Astyanax mexicanus: one gene and its partners. The protein of the gene in region 1 binds, or shares a complex with, the protein of each later gene. Links are inferred from orthologs where the notes say so. Each region holds a gene or a part of one and is shown in the gene's direction. Other genes may lie near its edges.

Region 1 (7,674 bases):
TGCCAATACTGGCACATTACAGGAATGTTGGTTATGTACATGAATATCTAAATGATCGTAATTCCATTGCACTGTGCACTTGTTTTCAGATGTAATGACAATGAAACCTATTGACTTTATTAGAAAGCAGGGTTGACAGATCTGATTAACCCTATATTATAAAAGCTCAGAAAACTCATGTTCACAGTTTAAATGTTTTATTGTTTGTGTTTTATTTATTGCAACCCCTGTGCTTCTTATTACCACTGCTATACAAATACTTTACTGTACCATTGTACTACAATGAACCAATCTTTTTTCTTTTGTTTACATCTTAACTACTGACATTTGCAGTCTTTTGGAATTTGAAAAATTATGGTGTACAGTAAGGGAAAAACGTATTGCATGCTAATGCTATTGGATATAAGATTATTGATGTGAAGCACGACAAATAAAGATCCTATATTAGTTTAAGTTTTGGTACTTGGCGTAGCTGCTAGGGGTGTGCCATATCGTATCGTACGTGATAATATCGCAAAAAGTTTGAATATCGTGAACGATATTATACCCTGAAATATCGTGCCATATCACTCACCCCTAATTATCACAACAGAGTACTACTTTTTTGCCGTTTTTACCAAAAGAAAAATTTACACTGTTCTCATTTCCCATTATTTATCTACTAGAGACAGATCATATAACTTTAATCCTGGATATATGGAGATATTTGGAGTGCATTATTAGTATCATGACATTCTGAATCATTCTGTAACAAATCTGATAAAATTCTTTTTTTTTATATCTCAGTTAGCCATATCATATTGCATGCAGTAATAAAATTGTAAATAATTTTTCTAATTCAGTGTTTTGACATATCGCCAAAAGTATCATTATCGTGAAAATACCATGAAATATTGTGATATTATTTTAGAGCCATATCGCCCACCCTTGGTAGCTGCATTATTTTTTTCCAGGCTAAGATGTAGTGTGGTGTGTGTGTGTTCATTATAGACCCCACTCTACCTCCAGCCTTGTTATGTCACACGAGCACAGTCTGTACTGCACTAAAACATCCCTCTGCGGCTGCATGCAGGTAATACTATTTGGATTTGCTGTTATTTGCGATATTGTAGCAGTTCTTTTAATAGGTCTGTTAAAACTTATATCACAATAACAATAAATATACTATTTATTTGCAGCAAATGACCTAAAGGTTTAAGGGGGAGGTCTGACTTTATGGAATGACATTATTATTTGGGTAACCAAGCATATTTACCTACTTAATTAGCTATTTTATTGTAACCAGTTTAATCCCCTGGACCAGCATGAAGCTTCCTTATCCCTAATTGTTCAAATGTTCAATATTCTAAATGTAACATGGCCTAAAGCAAATTCTCTAATCCCCTAATGAGGAGGTCACATTCTTTTGTAATAATGTGCAATGAGTAATGGCTGAAAATATCAAGCAGGAAACATAATTTTAAGGAGTTGACAGATCCTGACATTTTATTAATCATTACTTCTATTTAAGAAATCAGTTTACTCATTTAAATAAACTGTTCCTTAAGTATACCTAAATCAATTCCATATAAAGTGAGACAATGATTTAATAAATGTAACGTTATGGAATGGATTGTTAAATTGAGAAAACTGATTCTTAAACTGAGGGAACTCCCCAGCAATAAGATTAGAGAGTATGAGGTAAAGGCAGGAGTTCCTCTACACCTTTTACATACACTGACACCAACTGTTCCAGGTTAGCTAGTTCATAAGGAAACACCACATAGGCGTACTTCCTACCAATCCTGAAAACTATGAAATTAAAATATATTTATAGAGAGATAAACAGATATATAGAGAGATAAACCAATATATAAAGAGATAAACAGTGTGTAAAGAGGTCATGTTGCAACTGTGGGGCACTGAAGCATGTACAGGAGAAGGGTGGTGCCTTGACTAATGTGTTTATTGTATTGTGTTGAGGCCAATCAGGCCACTAATACACTAATATAGTATTTGTCTGCTCTGGCAGCATTACAGCGGTTTCATACGGTGTTTAAATGTCCATATCTCTGAGAGTCAGGCCTGCCGGGCAGAGATAAAGGCGGCATGGATGTGGCAGGGCCTGAGTTAAAGACATGCTCAAAACAGAGGCAGTGTTTTCTTCACTTCCTTTATAGAGACCACAAGAGCTCACGCTCAAAAAAAAAAAAAAAACACATTTAAACAGAGATAAAGCTCTTAAAGATGTGCAAGTTTTTAGACTGGATAAAAAGCTGCATAGCTTATTAAAACAAAACAAAAAATCCATAACAAACAAAAATATTATTATTATTATTATTATTACAACTCTACACTTAAAAAGCTCTAGTCTAAACAATAACTAGCTTAACAAACAAACATAAGATTAGCTTCAGAAAACTCATGTTAATAGATAAAAGGACCAAAACACGCCAATAAATAAGCCTATATTTACTATATCCAGCTCAGAAAGCAAAAAAACACTATGTTAGTTTAGGTTAGGTTAGCTGCAGCATTACTTTCAGAGCAGCTAATCAGCACGCTCTCACTGAAAACACGCTAAACCAGACTCCCTGTCCACAAACTTCCCATAAAAACACGGACACTGTTAGATAAACTGCTTACCTGCCTTTCCTCGGAGCACTTCGGTGAATTAAAGGCGTTTTTGTATAGAAATGTTCAGCGCTGGTTCATGCCCCCATCTGTACTGAGGGCAGAGGACCTTCCTAAAGATTTGCTACCATCAGAAACAACGCTGAACCCACCTGTTTTCAGGCACGCCCCGCCCTCCCACACCCGTATTCAGGCACGCCCCGCCCTCCCACACCCGTATTCAGGCACGCCCCGCCCTTCGACCACTGCATTTAGGCACGCCCCGCCCTCCAACAACCGCATTCCGATACACCCCGCCCCCTATTCCGTGATTGGCTGGTAGATGAAATGGGCTGTGACACATGTTTCCTTTATTTTCATGTCTGTTCAAAACTTAAAAACTTCAGACCCATATCCACTAATATAAACATTACATCAAATTATGTTAATTATAATGAAGATACAGTTATTTGAATAGTATGTTACTACTACGTAAATAGAAGAAATTATAGTTAAATAAGACCAATAACCTTAATAACTATTAATCCTATAAGACATACAAGGGAGACGTGCCCCAGTGTAAAGGCAATCCATCACTGTGTAAATCCATCCATTCCATCCTGAATTCACACGATGAGCGTTAAATATTGATATAGATATAAATATAGATATTGTATAGCATCACACAATATAGAACAAAACAGTATGTAATGAAAAAAAAATATGAAATGATTAATTACCTAAACCTAAATTAATACAACTACAAAAAGAAAATTTTCATATAAATAATTTTTCTAAGACATATTTTTGAGACAATATGAGGAATATTCAGTGAAATTATTATTCATTTTATGAACGTGCAGCAGAAAGAGTTTCTTCTTACTGAAAATAAAATAGTATAAAGGTTATGATGTCAAAGGGCTTTTTCTTAAAAGGGCGGAATACATTTCAATAGCTTTATATGTGATATATACTAAAGTAATTTACAGTGTATTATAGAATTGTATAGTACAGAATACAATGAAATAGTAATATCGTAAGATTTTTTTTTAGAATAGAATAACATAAAAAGTTATAAATTTAATTAAATAGTATAGTTGTTATAGAATAGTACTGAATAAAATATTATAGATTAGTAATCTGCTCTCAGTTCTATACTTTATTCAGTGCTACATCTGAGTAAAATCGTTAAAATGCTACCTCCTTCTGGCTTCAATACGCCAATGCACATATTATGCGAATTTACTGCAGCGATGCAACAGAATTTTATTAATGTAATAGTAACAGAATGTACTACGTCATTTTAAAAAAATACTACATTAATGTCACTGTAGAATAAACTAACATTTACTATAATTAAAACTACTAACTTAAATGAACTATGGCACCGTAGAATTTACTTAAATGTACTACAGCACTGTGGAGAATTTACTAAAATATACTATCGCACTGTAGAACTTACTAAAAATGTACTACTGTGCTGTAGAATTTACTATAATGTACTATAGCACTGTAGAAGTTACTAAAATGTACTGTTGCACTGTAGAACTTACTAAAATGTACTATGGTACTGTATCATTTAATAAAATTTACCATGGCACTGCAGAATTTACTAAAATCTAATGTAGCACTGCATAATTTACTAAAATATCACTGAATAATTTACTAAAATATAATGTAGCACTGCAGAACTTACTATAAATTACTACTGTAGAATTTACTAATATATACTATGCCACGGTGAATGTATTAAAATGTACTATGGTTGTGTATAATTGAATGAAATTTTGCTACAAAGGCACTGAATAAATGATCACACTTTTCTATGACCCTGTATAATGTTCTGCTCTTGTTCTTGTGTGTTCAGCGTGTTTACACTGGGCTACTGTATGAGTGGGAACGCATGTGCACAGTTTTAAAATCCTGCTGTCCTGTTCCGGTGGGACACAGCTCTGTAGAGCGGATGCGCTGATCTATAAACACTCCGAACCACAAACTCTGAGGTGTACATGAGATATAGATCAACGCTTCTGCGCAGTGGCCCGCCGGCCTTTATTCAAGCACGCATGCGCAGTGCCTGCTGCGTCGAGTCTGCGCGGCGGTGCTGTTGAACGCGGTTGTGTGAAAATGTCTAGCGACGGACCCCCGGGAGCCGAGACCAGCCCGGAGCTGGGCGCCTCCGCCGCGGCGCTCAACACATGGAGCCACGCTGAGCTACAGGCCAAGCTGGCGGAGATCGGGGCGCCGGTAATGGGTGAGTTAACCCGGGGAGAGGCGTCTGCAGCGGGCCGGGGGAGACAGCTAAACTAAACTAAGCTAAGCTAATTAGCACGCATGCTAATCTGGAAGCTAAGCTAACTGCTTCTGATGCCGGTTGTTTGAAACAGTAACTTAGTTATTAGCTTGGTGTTTAGTGTTTATTGTGGGTCATTGCTGCGAGCGGGTTCTCATGATGTGTGTAAAGATATTAAGGCTGTTTAATCGAGTTTATTAGCACGTTAAACTGATTTAAAACGAGTAAAGTTGCGTGTAGCTGCGCCATGTTGGTTCTGTAGCTATCAATGAACTGGGAAACTAGTTAGCTAGCTAACTGTTAGCTGTTGTGGTAAATGTTGTGTCCTAAGTAAAACGCACACAACCCAAGCCCGTCATATTGCTAAACCTCTTATTTCATGACTACTTTCTTATTCTTGTGTATAAATGTCAGACATGTGTTTATCAATACAAGTCAGTTGGTCTATGTGTCAATACTGCATACAGCTCTGGAAAATCAGACAATTTGAAAATGATGATTTTCTTTGATTTTACTAAATTGAAAGCCCCTGGAATATAAGGAAGGAAAATGGGTAATCATAAGCCATCAAACCAAGCTGAACTGATTGATTTTTTGCACCAGGAGTGGCAAAAAATTACCCAAAAGCAGTGTGTAAGACTGGTGGAGGAGATCCTGCCACAGAGCTAATAAATATATTCATGTAATCTTCAATAAATGTGTTTTTATCTTATCAGCTACACTAAGCATAAAGGTGCAATATGTACACTAATAATTACATAGTAGAGTCCTGTATCTGTTTCTCTGTAGACTTCACTGTCTTCCTTTTACCCTGTTTATTCAAATGGTCAGGACTCCACAGGTCTGCTACAATTGGTCCGAAACAGCAGTGCTGCTGACGTTTTTAAACACTGTTCAGTCTATTAGGAACTCCTACCTAGTTCTTCCACCTTGTAGACGTAAAATCAGAGACGGAGGCTCTAAATCTGTTGATGCACTGTTAGGTCATCCTTGAGTCCTTCATCAGTGTCCACATGGTGCTGTTGATTGGATATTTGATATGGATATTTGTCTAGTCCAGCAGAGACTCCTTATGTTGTTTAAAATCTCCAGCAAATCACTAAAATTAGAATGCATACAAATCATTTTACGAAAAATAGTTTAAGTGTGTCATCTGTTCTGTTGTGATCTGGAGTTTTTAGAGTAGAAGCTCTCTTACTACTGAGAGATAAGTTTAAATAATGAGCTTAGTTACCAAAAAAAAATACACAGAATATAACTGTAAATCAATAAAATACAGAAAGTAGAAAGTACAATGTGAACATGTAATGTTAGAGGTAAGCTTGATGTTTTGCGAAATGCTAAATGTACAATAGAGTGAAGTACAATGTAAAGTTGTGCAATTAGAGAAGTCACAATTATTATTCACATTTGTTGAATTTCCTGTGTGTAATGTATGCATATGAGAGTAATGCATGGCAAACAAAACAGTGCAGTTGTTTAATACAGTATTTTCTGTTTATTCTTTTTTCTCAGGCCCTAGAGAAGAGTTAATAGACAGGTTGAAAAATTACATGATGCAGGTAAGAGACTTGTAAAGTAAATAATTTGGTTTCACTGTTTGTACCTTTTTTTTTCCACTGTTATTTTGAGCTTGAGTGTTGTGATGAAGTAGGCTATACCCCTCTTCATCACCATAAAGACTATATCACTTACCTGTGTACACTCATGCTCAGCCTGTTGAGACAAAAGGGTACTACACGTAACTCAAAACCTTTTACTTACCTGGGTGAGTCCATCCTTGCAGAAGAGAGGGGGAGTGTGTACCTGTAAAAGAAAGGGAAGAAATGTGAATGTGTATTTTATATGTACATTGAAACTCGTACAGATTTCAGCACTTACAAACTGATTAGAGTTTGCTACTATTATTATTATTATTATTATTAATATTGTTGTTCTTATTATATCATAGTACCATGTACTTGGTGTATCATTACCCGGTTCTACCCGTGTGAGAAATGGTATGTTCATGGGAGGGGTTAATGGTATAAAAGGTGTACTGGATCTATGAGTAAGGGGGGGGCAGATAGTTCGGGATATCAGCCATGAAAAGAAGCTCTATACGACTGTATAGGAGATAGACCTTATTCTCTGCGTGAAGAGATTATTTTGTGTTTGTTTACTTTTCGTTTTCTTTTCTCGTCAAGTACGTACGCCTGTAAATTTGTAAATATTAGTGTTGGTGTGTAAATAAACGGTGTCGGATAAACTGTACCTCCTTGTTGCCATGGTTACTGGCCCTGCTTCTGAGCGCTCGCCCTACACTACCCATAAAGTTTCGTTCTGTCCTTGCTGGATATGAATGCGCTTTATCACAAGTGTTTTTTTCCCCTCAGACTGGAATCATGTTGAATAAGCCCAACATACCTGGTGGAGATGACAAAGGCATGCCCACGGTAAGCCCTCTTATTTATTATGTTTATATCATCATGTGATGTGAATTATGGAAAATAAATTAAATGTAGAGGTAGACACTCAGTTTTCACAGTTTCAGATCCAGTTTTCACCCAGAACCAGAGACCCTGAATCTTTTTACTAAAATAAAGCTTGAGAGGATTTAAACAAAACATTTATTATATATACATTAATTGTACAGTTATTAAGCAATTTTTTTTACAAAAAATGATTAGGAGGTCATTTCAGCCCTGCTGAATACCTGAGATCTAAGTTTTCTGGTCTTTTGATCTTATGATTTTTGCTCATGTCAGTGAATTAACGTCTTCCTTCTCTCACCTTATAGATTCCAGGTC
Region 2 (6,879 bases), on another chromosome or scaffold:
TGTGTAATGAGTGATGATGATGATTGATGAGTGATGAACCAGACTGAAGAATCTCAATCGCTTCAGGACGGATGACGAGTCGATAATAGGTGACGTCTTCAATTACGCTTAATAACGAGTTTTAGAGAAACAGAGGATATGATGAGATGAGTGATTATCTCAGAATGATAAAACACTGTTAGTTACACTTTTATTACACAACATAACAGAATAAGAGCAATTAATCACACTCACTCACTCCCACTTAAAATTAAAATACTGATAGAGGAAGTGGCTATAACTCTAAGAAAAAAACATTAAACCATTTTTTAACCCTTTCAGACCCTGCTTTCATTACAATGGGCATCATGCATTTTCTTATTTTTTTAAGTGTCAAAACACTAACCGAGAGCTGTTTTTAATCAGAATAGACTTTAAACAAGCCAAATAAAAAGTTTATGAGCCAATGAAAGGATAGCTTAGCCCTTATCACAAAAAAACAGCACTAGAACCAAAGAAGCAAATATATTGGAATATAAACAGGTTGAGAGCAGTAACGCACTGCCTCTGATCAGCACTAGGGGGCGGTATTGTGTAAGCAAAGAGTCTGTACACACTCTGCCGAGTTTAATCAGAGATAATCAGACAGACAGACAGAGAGACAGAGAGATAGATTGTTTGAGTAAAATGAACATTGTTGTTTTATTCTATAAACTACAGACAACATTTCTCCCAAATTACAAATAAAAATATTCTCATTTAGAGCATTTATTTACAGAAAATGAGAAATGACTGAAATAACAAAAAAGATGCAGAACTTTCAGACCTCAAATAATGCAAAGAAAACAAGTTCATATTCATAAAGTTTTAAGAGTTCAGAAATAATCAATATTTGGTGGAATAACCCTGTTTTTTAATCACAGTTTTTTTTTTCATGCATCTTGGCATCATGTTCTCCTCCACCAGTCTTACACACTGCTTTTGGATAACTTTATGCTGCTTTACTCCTGGTGTAATAATTCAAGCAGTTCAGTTTGGTGGTTTGATGGTTTGTGATCATCCATCTTCCTCTTGATTATATTCCAGAGGTTTTCAATTTGGTAAAATCAAAGAAACTCATCATTTTTAAGTGCTCTCTTATTATTTTACAGAGCTGTTCTTCAGATGTTCAGTAGGGGGCGTCCTCTCCCGCAGTAGGAGCAGGAGTGTTAGTATTAGTGTGGTGTGGCTGGTGAGCAGCTGCATCCCATCACACACTAAACTCCTCCAGATGGAGCTGGACCCGGCCCAGGCCGGCACCGGGCTTCAACTGGGTTACACCGGGTCCACACCGCCATCAGGGACCACACACACTGCAGCCTGAACCACACACACCACACACACGCCCAACACCGCCTCAGCATCCGGTGCCAGCTCACCAGCCCAGTAACCTGCCCTACTGTACTACTTAGAGATAAATACTAAATTTAATTCCTTTTCTAGACACATGAGATCTTAGGTCCTATTTATCCATAGGTGTGCCATCATTCGTGCACCATGAAGCTTGATTTAGGGCGTGGCAGTGTGTCTTTGCTATTGTAAAGACGGGAAAAGTATTAATCATGGGTGTGGTTAATTTTGGGCGTAACGTGAAATAAATTTAATAAACCAATCAGAGAGTCTCTTCAGCTCATCATTCTCTTTAAGAGTAGATCAGGTGAGCTCTGTCTTTGGTGGATTGCTATTGTAACGGTGCAGCTACCTGGACGTGTTCAACAAACTCTTCTCAGCAGAGGAAACTGAGCTGCTGGTTGACGCTGTGAAGGAGCTCCAGCAGCTCATTTACGGGAACAGCAATGTTATTTTATTTACTATTCTGTTTATTGTTGATGTAAAAGTTGGGTTTGTGCTGCTGTGTGTTCATGTGTGTGTAATAAGTGGGGGTGTACGCTCGGCTCGGCACGGCGCCTGTGTTACCGAGATAGCGATGAACGCACAACCCCAAATCTGAAAAATACACAATACAGGTGATTTACAGGTGATTATAATCGTGCATTGTGACCATAACCATCCTCTTTACTCATCATTTCAGCTGCTGCCATCAAGCAGGAGACTAAAGGTTCCACTAAAGTTAAAGTTTTCTCTTATCTTATCTTTAAAAATAAGCTAAAATAAATACATTAAACATGCACAAACCTTGATATAAATGAGTGTATGTTGCTGAAATGTTTGATAGTGTTAAGAACAGTTTTATGGTTTTAATGTGAACTGAACCTCTGGCTGAATATGCAGCAGTAACTGTTATTATGTAAGTAAAGCAATTTTAGCTTTGTTGTTTTTGTTGTTTTTATTTTCTATTCATTATTATTTCTCTCACACAGTGTTTACCGGCCGTCTGGTGGCTGTGTGGTGGGGCAGGGCCTGTGGCGCTGGTTCCTGTACTGAGAGAGAGAGAGTGGGCACAGCGGGCAGAGAGGGCAGTGTGTGGCATGTCCTGCCAACGGGATAGTTAAATTAGAGCTGAGACTCTCTGATTGGTGGAGGACGTCAGGGGCACAGCCTCTGTCTGGCTGCAGGACCAAGACATACAGGTGTATTACTGAGAGGAAAGTCTTATATAGCAGTATACAGGACATTCCTGCTCCAATTACACGTCTTGTTTACTTCAGGAGGTCTTAAAAAGAGTGATCCAATCCAAAAAGCACAAAACTTATTCTGAGCAAAATAGATGGTTATTTCACTGCATTCAAGCTGAGCACAAAGGGCAGAACACTATAGACCAGTGATATGGGTATCAGTTGTGGTCCGCAATGCATTTTCAAAGCAACTCAGAAAATATTTATATTAAAAAAATGTATAAGGTATTGATTTCAACCTAAAAATTTTAACCTTGATCAGGTTTGTTTGTGTACCTGGTAGAGCCTGCATATAAGCTTTATTTTCACACTTCAGATATTTAAAGTTCTATAGGTCCTACAGTTGAACCTTGTGGAACTCCACCATTCACAATATCAGTAGTTATTTACTGTATTAGTATTAATAGCTAAATAATTAGTATAGGGTTTAAGGGGGAGCCATGTAGACTCTGTGGTTCACTCCTCCCTATTCTCACACTCCTGTTATTTCCCTCTGTCTTAAACTTTCCCACATGTCTCAGTAGGCATACTGCATTTACAATAAACAATAATCAAGAAATACAGTGTGGTAAAAAAAGTATTTCATTTTAGTTTTGGGTTCTTTTTCATACTTACATTTTCAGAATAAAAAAAAATCTTTTAATATCAGACAAGGATAATCTGAGTAACTAAAAAAATATTTTTTTTGAACGATAATTTCATTTATTTGTGAAAAAAAATATATGTGAGAAAGTATTTGCCCCCTAAAAACAATACCTTGGTTGTGATGTCACTGATGATGTCAAATGTTAATAATAAACATTTAAAATAGCTAAATCATTGTAAAAAAAAAACGTGTTTAAAAAATTAACAATATAATATTTTAAAAGGACCATGGTAATGTAATCAGGCAGTGCTGCAGACAAACTCACCCCCCACAACCAATAAAACCGTATATAACATAGAAAAAGTTAGTTAAAGTGAAGATTTATATGATTTTTTTATGATAATAATAATAATAATAATAATAATAATAATAATAATAGTAATAATAATAATGTGTTTTATTGAGATAATATCAATAACGTCTTATTTTGTTATTTGTTTAAATTTAACACAGTAGTTTCTACGTTTAATCGTTTAGGAAACGTTGTAAGCTGCAAAATAATAGACTGTCTAAACGTTGTCGCAACGTTACCGTGTTCATACAGGAAGTCGCGCCTTTTTTTCTGACATCGACTTCAAGCTGCGTCTAAAACGCGTTTTCACTTTTGTTGTTTGTCCCTTTCCGGTACCCGTAGCGGCTTCCACTCGTGGTGGAAAGAGGCGAACATGGCGGCGGCGGCGGAGTCCGGAGAAAAAGAGGCGGCGGAGGGATTAACCCGCAGCCCGGAGCAGGTGAGCGGGAGCCGGGGAGCGGGCGGCGGAGATACCGCTGCGGGGGAGCGGGACCCGGAGCGGGGAGAGCGCGGGACACAGACCGGGGGGAGAGAGCGGGAGAGCGGCCTGTGTACACACACACTCCCGGAGCGCGCGTTATTAATCTCATACTACACAACTATCGATTAATCGGGTTATTGATCATTAAACAGCAGATTTAAGGTCAAATGCGGCTCACACACACTAATAAACCCCCTATACTAACTAACAAACACACTCTTAGTGTTTATTTACAGTTAATAGTAATGATGTTTACAGTAATTATGGTGTTCAAACAACTGTCCTACTTTAGCACCAAACTTAGAGCTAACACTCACTATACTACATTACTATTCACTATACTACACTAATACTCACTATAATTACTATAATGATACTCTATTCCACACTCATAATAACTGTGCTAGACTAACAAATACTATAGTACAGTAATACTCACTTTACTACACTAACACTCACTGTAATACAAGACTAACACTATTAGTTACTACAATAACACTCACTATACTACACTAACACTAACTATACTACACTAACACTCTATAATACTACACTAATACTAACTATACTGGACTAACACTGACTACTTGTAGAACACTCACTATACTACATTAAAACTCACTAATTCTACACTAATACTATACTGTATTACTACTGTAATACTACTTTAACACTCACTATACTATACTAACACTTTAATACCACACTAATATGCACTGTACTGGACTAACACTATACTATTCTGAAAACTATTATACACTAAAATTCACTGTACTACACTAATGCTCACCATACTACACTAATACTCACTATACTACACTAGCAGTCACTAGAATATTCTACATTGATACTTACTATACTACAGTAATGCTCACTGTAGTCTACTATGCTTATGCTCACTATACTAGACCAATACTCACTATACTACACTAATTCTACACCATTACACTACAACACCACCAATACTATACCTATACTAATACTCACTATAATATACTACACTAATACTCTACACTTATACTCACTGTTTTAAACTAACACACAAACTCTTGGTGTTTATTTACACTTACCAGTAGAGTGGTGTTTATAAAACTCTCGCCAAACTCTCACCTAACTCTCACTATATTAACTAATACACACTACACTATTATAGTGCCGTAAAAAATATATTTGCTCCTTATAGATTTCTTTTGTCATTGCTTTTTTTGTCATACTTATATTTTTCATATTCTCAAACAAACTTCAATATCAAACAAATATAACCTAAGTAAATATAAAAAGCAGCTGGAGATCATCAGGATGTTAGTTGGTAAATGTGAGACGGGTGGTTGTATTTCTCTGTTTTTGGTCAGCAGTGTTTTTTTTTTTATTATTTATTTCTTATTATTAAATCATTAACACTGATCTTAACTGAGGCTTTAGTGAGATCCTGCAGTTCTTTAAATGTTGTTCTGGGTTCTTTTATGGACCTCCTGGATGAGTTCTTCATGCCCTTTGCAGTAATTTGGGTCGGCCGGTCACTCCTGGGAAGGTTCACCAGTGTTCCATTTGTTTTTTCTCCATTAGTGAATAATAGTGAATCACTGTGGTTCTCTGGAGTCTCAAAGCTTTAGAAATGACTTTATAACCTTTTCCAGACTGAAAGATGATCAGTAACTTTTTCTCATCTGATGTTGAATTTCTTCAGATGGGAGAATAATAATGTGCTGATTTTTTAGATCTTTTATCTTCCTTATGTTTTCAGATATGTTCTATTTTAGTGATTTTCATTGTAGCTATGGCTAGGTTGGTTTGGATAAATGTTGTTTTCCCTTATTACAAGAAATAGTAAAAAAGGCTTTTTTTTATGTTTACCCAGGTCTTTCTGTTTTTGAAGTTTGTTTAATAATCTGAAAAATGTAAGTATGATAAAAAAAAAAGCAAAAATAAATGTCTATAGGGGTGGGGCGAAATACACTGTACACACTAACACACTAATTATACACTGTAGTATTGTATCTAGGGATATATGTAGTCTTATCATTCTATGATCTTGAGATTAAATGTGACCTAAAAGGTACTTTCAGAATCAGAACGTAAATAAAAAAATCCATAATCCATTTTTAATATTTCAGACACCTTCTGACACTGGCTTTAACATGATTTATTTAGCTTAGCCTTCTCTTCCTGTTTTATTTCGGAACGTTTTATTTGATAAAGTAGTTTATTTTGGAGTTTCAGGTTGCAGTAAGTGTTCCATCTGTTCCACTTAAGAAGTGTTTAAAAATTTAAGAGCGTAAGCTCTAAAAGAAAAGTGTATTTTAGCTCCTGTGAGTCATATCTAAGTTTTTTATTCACAGTACAAACTTAATAAATTATCTTTATATACCATTAAAAATTTAAATAGTATACATTTATGTTTGTCTTGCTTTTCAAAAAGAAAAAACAACTGCAGATATACAATTTAAAAATGTTTATTGCACACAAAACATTATCATTCAGGGCTATTCTAATCATACATTTACCTCAGAAATTAAAATGAAATCTCAATATTCTTTGAATATACACTACAGGTAAAATGTATAATTTTTCCACTTTATCTTTGTCATTTAATCTCTTTATGTATAGTCTGGAACCTGAAATAGTAAATATTCCAGTGTACAAAAAATATTTTTATTCTAATCATGAATTTACCTCAGCAAAGCTTCTTTCTTTTTAATCATACATTTACCTGAGCAGCACTATTCTAATCATGGATTTACCTCAGCAGTGCTATTCTAATCATGGATTTACCTCAGCAGTGCTCTTTTATTTATACATTTACCTCAGCATTTACCTCAGCATTTACCTTAGCATTGTGACTGTTCTAATTGTGAATTCACCTCAA
Region 3 (7,301 bases), on another chromosome or scaffold:
GGTAAATTTACCATTTTGACTGAGGATTTGTGGGTTTTGGTGAATTTACTTGTTCATATTCTTATTTCTCTTAAAAAGTAAGTTGTTAATTTAAATAAAGGTAGGCATTAATGCTTAGCCAATTATAAATAACCTAGAAGGCAGTAAAAAATATCTGAGGTAATGATTGTGTTTTCCACAAAAAAATAGAAGAGGCAAACTGGAAATTGCAGACTTAAACTCTTAATAAACTCTTAAAAGACTTAATAAACTCTTGATTAGGTAACATAGCTTTTATTCTGTGTCTGTAAGCTTTTAGAGAACATGTAAAAAAAACGATAAAATTAAAGCACAGTACAGATAAAAGCCTCCATCTGTATTTATGCTCATTTTCGCTCAATGTTAAATGTGGATGTGGATATGGATGGAGCCTATTGTCCATATATTGCATTAATTTAATCTGTATTTGTGCACATTATATAAAAGTTTACGGATACAGTCTGAATGTAGCACTTCCAATGGAAACAGTGGAGACAGTGTAACCAATAATTTATATAAAAATAGACCACTGCCAAATGAGCACTTATAAATATGATTCTACACTTATAAGAATAAACAAACATAAGTTCACATTATAGAAAAGTAACAGCCACATGTTTTTATTTACTTTCTGTACAAAATCATAATTGCATCAAAAATACACTAAGAAAGGTTACCTTTCCACCAGCACAATAAACCTCCATAAGAGAACATAGCTACCAATGTCAGGAGAAAGATTCACTGCTTAAACAGTAACATATCTATACACGGCTCTGAAACTCCCCTAGTCTTTGGGTATTTCAGATCATAATTATTTTAATTAAAATCTGCCGCAAATGTCTGAGCCTTTACGTTCATAAGAAATGCTGGTCCTGGTGAGCCGACATCAAAAATAACAACATTAACATCTCAGTCTGTGTCTGAAGATCCGCTGGAGCTGCTGGATGAGGAGGTCTGTTTAAGTTTCTTCTTGCTCTTTTTCATACGTCTTTTCTCTTTCTCTTTTTTTTCCTTTTTGCCTTTCTTCTTATGGCTCTTGTGCTTTTTCTTTTTTTTGCTCTCCTCTTCCTCCTCCTCCTCATCATCATCATCACTAGATGAATAAGACCTGAATCAAAGTAATAAGAAATTAATAAAACATAAATGACAAAAAAACTTTCTATTGTTATTTTTTATTTAAGGCAAAATATATTATTAAAAATGTTCTTTTTATATATTTTTAAACATTTTTATAATTTCAGATAAACGATTCTTGTGCGACAGGGTCATGTCAGCAAATTACTTATAAAAATGTATAATTTTACTTGTAATAATAGAAATATATATATTTACTGATTTTAAGAATGTTAAGAATATGTTATGGTAGTTTACATACTGCTCTCTCATTTTTTTTGGCACAACAGTGTAAATATTTTGCAGTGAATTTTACTTATTAGAGTATGTACAGCTAAAATATCTTCCACAATTCACAATTAAAGCCCCTATTGACACTGAGAATGTATACCTAATGTGAATTGTATATTATAATTATATAGTTATATACACATTGCTTTTATTAAATGAAGTAAAAATTTAATGAGATCAAATCAAATCCCACAAATTTCAAAACTAGTCCTAAAATAATTTCTTTAAAAACATCTCAGCAACTCAAGGTCAGCTTCAGAGATGCACCCTAACTGACCACTTAAGGTAAATGGTTATCCATTAACTGTCCATTAACCTCTGAGAGGATAAAAAAAAAAAGAAAAATATGTGGCATCCAGTCCAGTTATTTTTTTTTCCACATTTAAAATGGTACCACTTTATATTTTTGCTTTACTTTATTTGCACTTTAAAATAAATGTTTATTGATATAAAAACACAATCTATGATATTTTCATATTTCCTATTGTTACTATTATAAATACAAATTACAGTTTCAGCTTTGCTTACAACACATTGAATTTAACCTTCTATAAATGTATTTTACAGCAACAATATGCAACATTTTTCTGTTAACATCAGTATGTTATTATCAGTAATATAATAATATCAGTCAACACTTTATGCTGTATACAATACTGTAACAGCTGTATCAGTAATATAAAATGGCATACTTCTCCAGATATGCATTTAAATAATAAAAAATGTGTGTTTGGAAGTTTTGCAGATTGTACCTCTTTTTTGCTTTACGGTGGGATCTTTCTTTACTTTTCTTTTTGTGCTTTTCCTTTTTTGAGTCCTCCTGAGAACCTGCAGAGGAAGCAAATATCAAACTCTGATTATCAGCATTCCTGTCATTTTCTACACTTTCCATTTTAGAGTCCAGAAATAATTAACACTATAGCCATCAGTGATTGCAAATCTAGAAAAAAGTTATAGTTAAGCAGATCAAACTAATTATCAAATAATGCCCAAACCTTTAGAATTGCTCCCAAAGATCTTCTCCTTGCTGACAGCCGCCTGCTCTTCTTCCTCGCTCTCTTCAGTGCTTGTGCTGCTAACGTCCAAAACGATGTCCTTCCTGGGGTCCACTCGCACAAAGTTACGACACTCGAACGTCAGGTGACCCGCTGGCAAAGTAAGGAAATCATTTGTTTTGCAACAATAAAGAATTACAGTAATAATGCTAATTAAAAGCTGAATACAAAGTAAATATGATCCAAACGGATCATTCTCAATACTTACGATAGCCACATCTTTTACATCCAGCTCGAATATTATCCTTATTAACACCTGTTTAAAAAACAATTATAAACCCATTAGTAAAGATATGCAGTACTAGTCAAAAGTTTTAATACACCACAATTGTTTAATTGTCCAGAATATCTTTGGACTTTATAACTTGTTTGACAGTAGACCAACACCAGCAGATGACATGCCTCTCCAAACCATTACTGATTGTGGAAATGTCACAGTAGATCTCAAGACTGTGTGTCTCTTCACTCTTCCTCCAGACTCTGGTCCCTTGTTTTCCAAAATGAAATGCAAAATTTACTGATGATCAGTGATGGTTTGGAGAGTCATGTCATCTGCTGGTGTTGGTCCACTGTGTTTTATTATCCAAGTCCAAAGTCAGTGCAGTGTTTTCCCAGAAAATCTTACAGCACTTCATGCTTCCCTCTGCTCATAACTTTTATGGAGATGCAGATTTCATTATCCAGCAGGACTTGGCACACTGCCCACATTGCCAAAAGTACCAATTGGTCTTTTATAATATTTTAATTTTCTAAGATATTGACTGTTGGGGTTTTCATTGGATGCAAGCCATAATCATCAATACATCTATATTATATATGAGCTTTAAATTTTGAACTAAATTACAGAAATATAGTAACTTTTCATTGAAATTTTTATTTTGATGCACTAGTATATGTACAGCTCTGGAGAAAGACCACTTAAAAATGATGAGTTTCTTTAATTTTACCAAATTGAAAACGCAAGATGGATGATCGCAAGCCATCAAACCAAGCGAAACTGATCCAACCCCAACTGCGAAACTGCTTGACTTTTTTGCAGCAGGAGTGGCATTAAGTTAAACAAAAGCAGTGTGTAAGACTGTGCATGAAAAATGTGATTAAAAACCAGTGTTATTCCACCAAATATTGATTTCTGAACTCTTAAAACTTTATGAATATAAACTTGTTTTCTTTGCATTATTTAATAATTTCTTTGCATTTTATTTGGAAGCAATGTTGTCTGTAGTTTATAGAATAATTTTGCTCAAACATATACCTATAAATAGCAAAATCAGAGAAACTGATTCAGAAACGGAAGTGGTCTCTCCAGAGCTGTATATACGCACTAGCGATGAAATAGTGAACGTTTATTTAACGTTTTTTTTGCTGAATATGGTAACGTTAACTAACTAGTGAGCTGGCTAGTTATCTAGCTAACCTAGCTTTACATAGTTGCTGTGAGAACAAAAGCTATTTAAGATAACCTAGCTATTTAACTAAAAGGGATTTTTTAACAAGGCAACGTTTAAATGACACCGTGCAACATTCATATATGTATTTAATAAATATGATCAAAACTAGTGCGCTAACTAGCATCAGTAGTTAGGTTAACTAGCTTAGCTCAGCTAGTTAGTTAGTTAATAGTTATCTTAGCTACATATAGTTTTGTATAGGAGCTGCTACTGTAAGCCTAGCTAAGCTAAGCTAAGCTAAGCTAACCTAGTACTGTTCCAGAATGTTCCGGGCGCGCGCTTCCCGCCAAAACAGGAACAAACGGGGTAAACCAGCTAATCTAAGCTAGTCAGATCTGTAGCTAGTTTTACATACCTGGAACAGCCATTTCAGCTGAGTATAGAGATTTTAATGTGAAAAAAATGCAGCTCGTCCTCAAAACACAACAACACACACCAGGCTCTTCTCCTTCTTCTTCCTCTAGTAGCTTACGGTGAGCATTACCGCCACCCGCTGAAAGCCGGGGAACTTACACACAGGCGTTTATTCAATATTCCCTTTGGCTCTGATACTGACATTAGGCTGTTATCTATGTTATCAATTTACCTGATAATGTCATACATTTTACTTGTATTAGTCTGTTATCAGTGCATTAGGTTCAGTTAGCACTGCAATAGGCAATAATAATGCCTGATATATGTATAATAATGCACGTATAGTACAGATTGCCTTTAGTCAGCAACTATATTTAAACTATTATTAACATGTTAGATTAAGTATTCTAACTCTGTGCTCCAGGCATTTGAGCTTATTATATAAGAGAAAGTGGAAGATGTGCATCCTAATAGGAGGCGAATATTATGGTAAAAAGCCTGACCCAGCATTATACTCATTATATTTTTCTCCCTATAATGACCCACATGTAAGGTTTGTATGGTTGTTAGCGTTTTGTAGTTTGCCACCAGAGGTCTAAACAAGCACATACACACTTTTGTTTATTCAGATATGCACCACATTAGTGTACTCTCAGTTTAAGTGAATCCCTAATACATAAGTGAGGAGTTGAAGACAGGCACACAAAAACACTAACTGTGTCAGTCCCTCAAGGTCAGGCTCTTTTAAAAACACAGTAGTGTTTCAATTAGCTTTTAAGTAGCATTTAAAGTAGTCTTAATCAGTTAACGTAAATCAGGTTATAAATGAACCCTTATTTTTAAACTTCTCAATGTCACTGCTGGACTGAAATAAGTCTACCAGTTGTTGTGTCCCGTGGGTAATGTATGTAGAAACAAGGAGGTGGTTATGATGGTATTCTTGACCAGTCTTTGATGTGTAATGATAACAATGGTTTTAAAATGTGATATTTTGTTCGTTTTTAATATTAAAAGATTTGTTGGAGAGCCTACCCACTTCCTATAATTTCTATCAGAAAATGACTGTGAATCGCTAGAGGGCACCCGCGAGTGAGATCAAAATAAATGGGGGTGAATGGAGCTAAACCGCTACAACTCAAAATAAAAATAGTAAGGTAATTTTATATATATATATATATATATATATATATATATATATATATATATATATATATATATATACATCTCCGGTACATTCCTTTAATTTTGGAAGTCGGAATAGTGTATTTTGCTAATAAAATATATAGAACTCACCTGTATATTTTATATTTTCTACAGTAAACTCACTTGGGTGCGCCCTCTGGTGGTTAAACAAACCTTTCTATTATAGAGATTCTCTGGCATAACTATCTTGGGCCTCTGAACTGTAGGTTGGTTCGCTAGCTTTAGGTGGCAGCAGTGCGGTTAGCAGTGTTTTTCCCCCAGTCAGGATGTTAAAGAAGGAGAAGTCTAAGCTGGCGGCGGTGTACAGGATTTATTAGAGTGATATTTTATGTTTATGCGAGTTTTTTGCCGTTTATTATCGTTTTTTTTTTCAGTACGGTAGCTGGCGTCCTACTAATACTGCTTCAAACATGAGCAACATATACATCCAGGAGCCTCCGACTAGTGGCAAGGTGCGTAGCCAGGGAGCTAACTAACCTAACCTAGCCTTAGTTCACTGAGTTTTGTTTCTTTAAATATAAAAAATAAATAATATGACGAACAAACAAGGTTATTTCCCAAACACCGCCCTTTAGTGTGTGTTTCTGACTCACTGACTGTCTCAAAAAACTGCACTGTACTGTAACTCTAGTTAGTTACTGGGTTAAGTTAGCTAGCAAAACATAAATATTCAGCATTAAGGCTTGGCGATATGGCCCTAAAATAATATCACGATAGGGTGCTCAGGGTGTTTTTGCTATATTTTTTGACGATATTACAAAACATTATTTAAAAAAACCCCAACATAATTTCAACTATGAATGTCCTAATCACATCACAGGCCATTTAAACTGACATAATGATAATAGAATAGCATAACAAAGCGTTTCCATATTTTTAAAGACAAAATTTGTAATTAATCATAGTTCAGGATGTATAGCTATACTTTGTTTTTACCTAAGTTACTGCAGTCAACAATGTTTGTACTGTGTGGAGTCTCAATTTTTAAAACATTGGTCATTTAGCATGACTAGGTAAAATACTGTTCACTGTTAAGTTATGTAATATATGTGAACACATATTCACATAATAGAACACAATAGATTTTACAACAATTAAATATTATTGAGGTAATGTCCATTTAGTTTATGATAATCACAAGTTTTGTCATTAATTACTTAAATCAATTTGTGTTGCCAGTTTAAACTTATCCAGCTCCAGGCTTTGAGACCTGTTCAACAATGCTAGAAATCTGATCCTGATACCTTAAGAGCCTCCTATCGCTCAGCCATTTTATGCAACCAAAAAAAAGTAACGTTTCTTCAATGTTCTTTGCTATCAGGGGAGATTAGCAATCTGAGACAATTTTTAAAACTGTCTCCATTTTATTTTTCTTAAAGGTTTTAATTAAGACCTCTGCAGGTGATATTGATGTGGAGCTGTGGTCAAAAGAAGCTCCCAAAGCCTGCAGAAACTTCACTCAGCTGTGCATGGAAGGTAAGTCTAGCATATTTAGTCTTTTTACCTCTTTGACATTCCTTTATGTTTAAATGTGTCTGTAGTAGTACACTTCATTCTCAATTTAAAAAATAGCTTCCCCAATTTAATAAATGCAAGGTTTGGTTGTTAAACGTCAATCCAACTTTCACTGGCTCTGCAGACTAAGATGCTCAAGTCACAGATAATGCTGCTTTGTGATCAACAGCCGGAGTCTAAATGTCCTGGAGGACTTTCTTGCACTCTAGCCAGTGCCTGTGGGACAGTGGGCAGTGAAACAAATACTATGTTAGTAATGTACATGTTATAAATTTTCTTCTTTGTCAGGTTACTACAATGG

What was found. Proteins that work in one complex are often made in the same cells at the same time.
Region 2: sf3b2 (region 1) and cwc22 share a complex: the UniProt entries of both Homo sapiens proteins name them as parts of the minor spliceosome. The link is inferred for Astyanax mexicanus from reciprocal best matches to the Homo sapiens genes SF3B2 and CWC22.
Region 3: sf3b2 (region 1) and cwc27 share a complex: the UniProt entries of both Homo sapiens proteins name them as parts of the minor spliceosome. The link is inferred for Astyanax mexicanus from reciprocal best matches to the Homo sapiens genes SF3B2 and CWC27.

Annotation. Positions count from the first base shown.
Region 1 is NC_064415.1:13,364,139-13,371,812, forward strand, and holds the start of sf3b2 (splicing factor 3B subunit 2), read left to right. Parts: upstream 1-4,665; 5' UTR 4,666-4,719; coding exon 4,720-4,846; intron 4,847-6,400; coding exon 6,401-6,447; intron 6,448-7,260; coding exon 7,261-7,320; intron 7,321-7,664; coding exon 7,665-7,674. UniProt on the Homo sapiens protein: Component of the 17S U2 SnRNP complex of the spliceosome, a large ribonucleoprotein complex that removes introns from transcribed pre-mRNAs.
Region 2 is NC_064418.1:50,566,570-50,573,448, forward strand, and holds the start of cwc22 (pre-mRNA-splicing factor CWC22 homolog), read left to right. Parts: upstream 1-3,851; 5' UTR 3,852-3,905; coding exon 3,906-3,971; intron 3,972-6,879. UniProt on the Homo sapiens protein: Required for pre-mRNA splicing as component of the spliceosome. As a component of the minor spliceosome, involved in the splicing of U12-type introns in pre-mRNAs. Promotes exon-junction complex (EJC) assembly.
Region 3 is NC_064427.1:22,654,137-22,661,437, forward strand, and holds the start of cwc27 (spliceosome-associated protein CWC27 homolog), read left to right. Parts: upstream 1-4,273; 5' UTR 4,274-4,283; coding exon of another isoform or gene 4,284-4,296; 5' UTR 4,297-4,401; exon of another isoform or gene 4,402-4,409; intron 4,410-5,700; exon of another isoform or gene 5,701-5,859; 5' UTR 5,860-5,895; coding exon 5,896-5,937; intron 5,938-6,864; coding exon 6,865-6,961; intron 6,962-7,288; coding exon 7,289-7,301. Other genes in the region: protein SREK1IP1, read right to left, coding at 928-1,126, 2,175-2,250, 2,418-2,570, 2,686-2,733, 4,284-4,296. UniProt on the Homo sapiens protein: As part of the spliceosome, plays a role in pre-mRNA splicing. Probable inactive PPIase with no peptidyl-prolyl cis-trans isomerase activity. As a component of the minor spliceosome, involved in the splicing of U12-type introns in pre-mRNAs.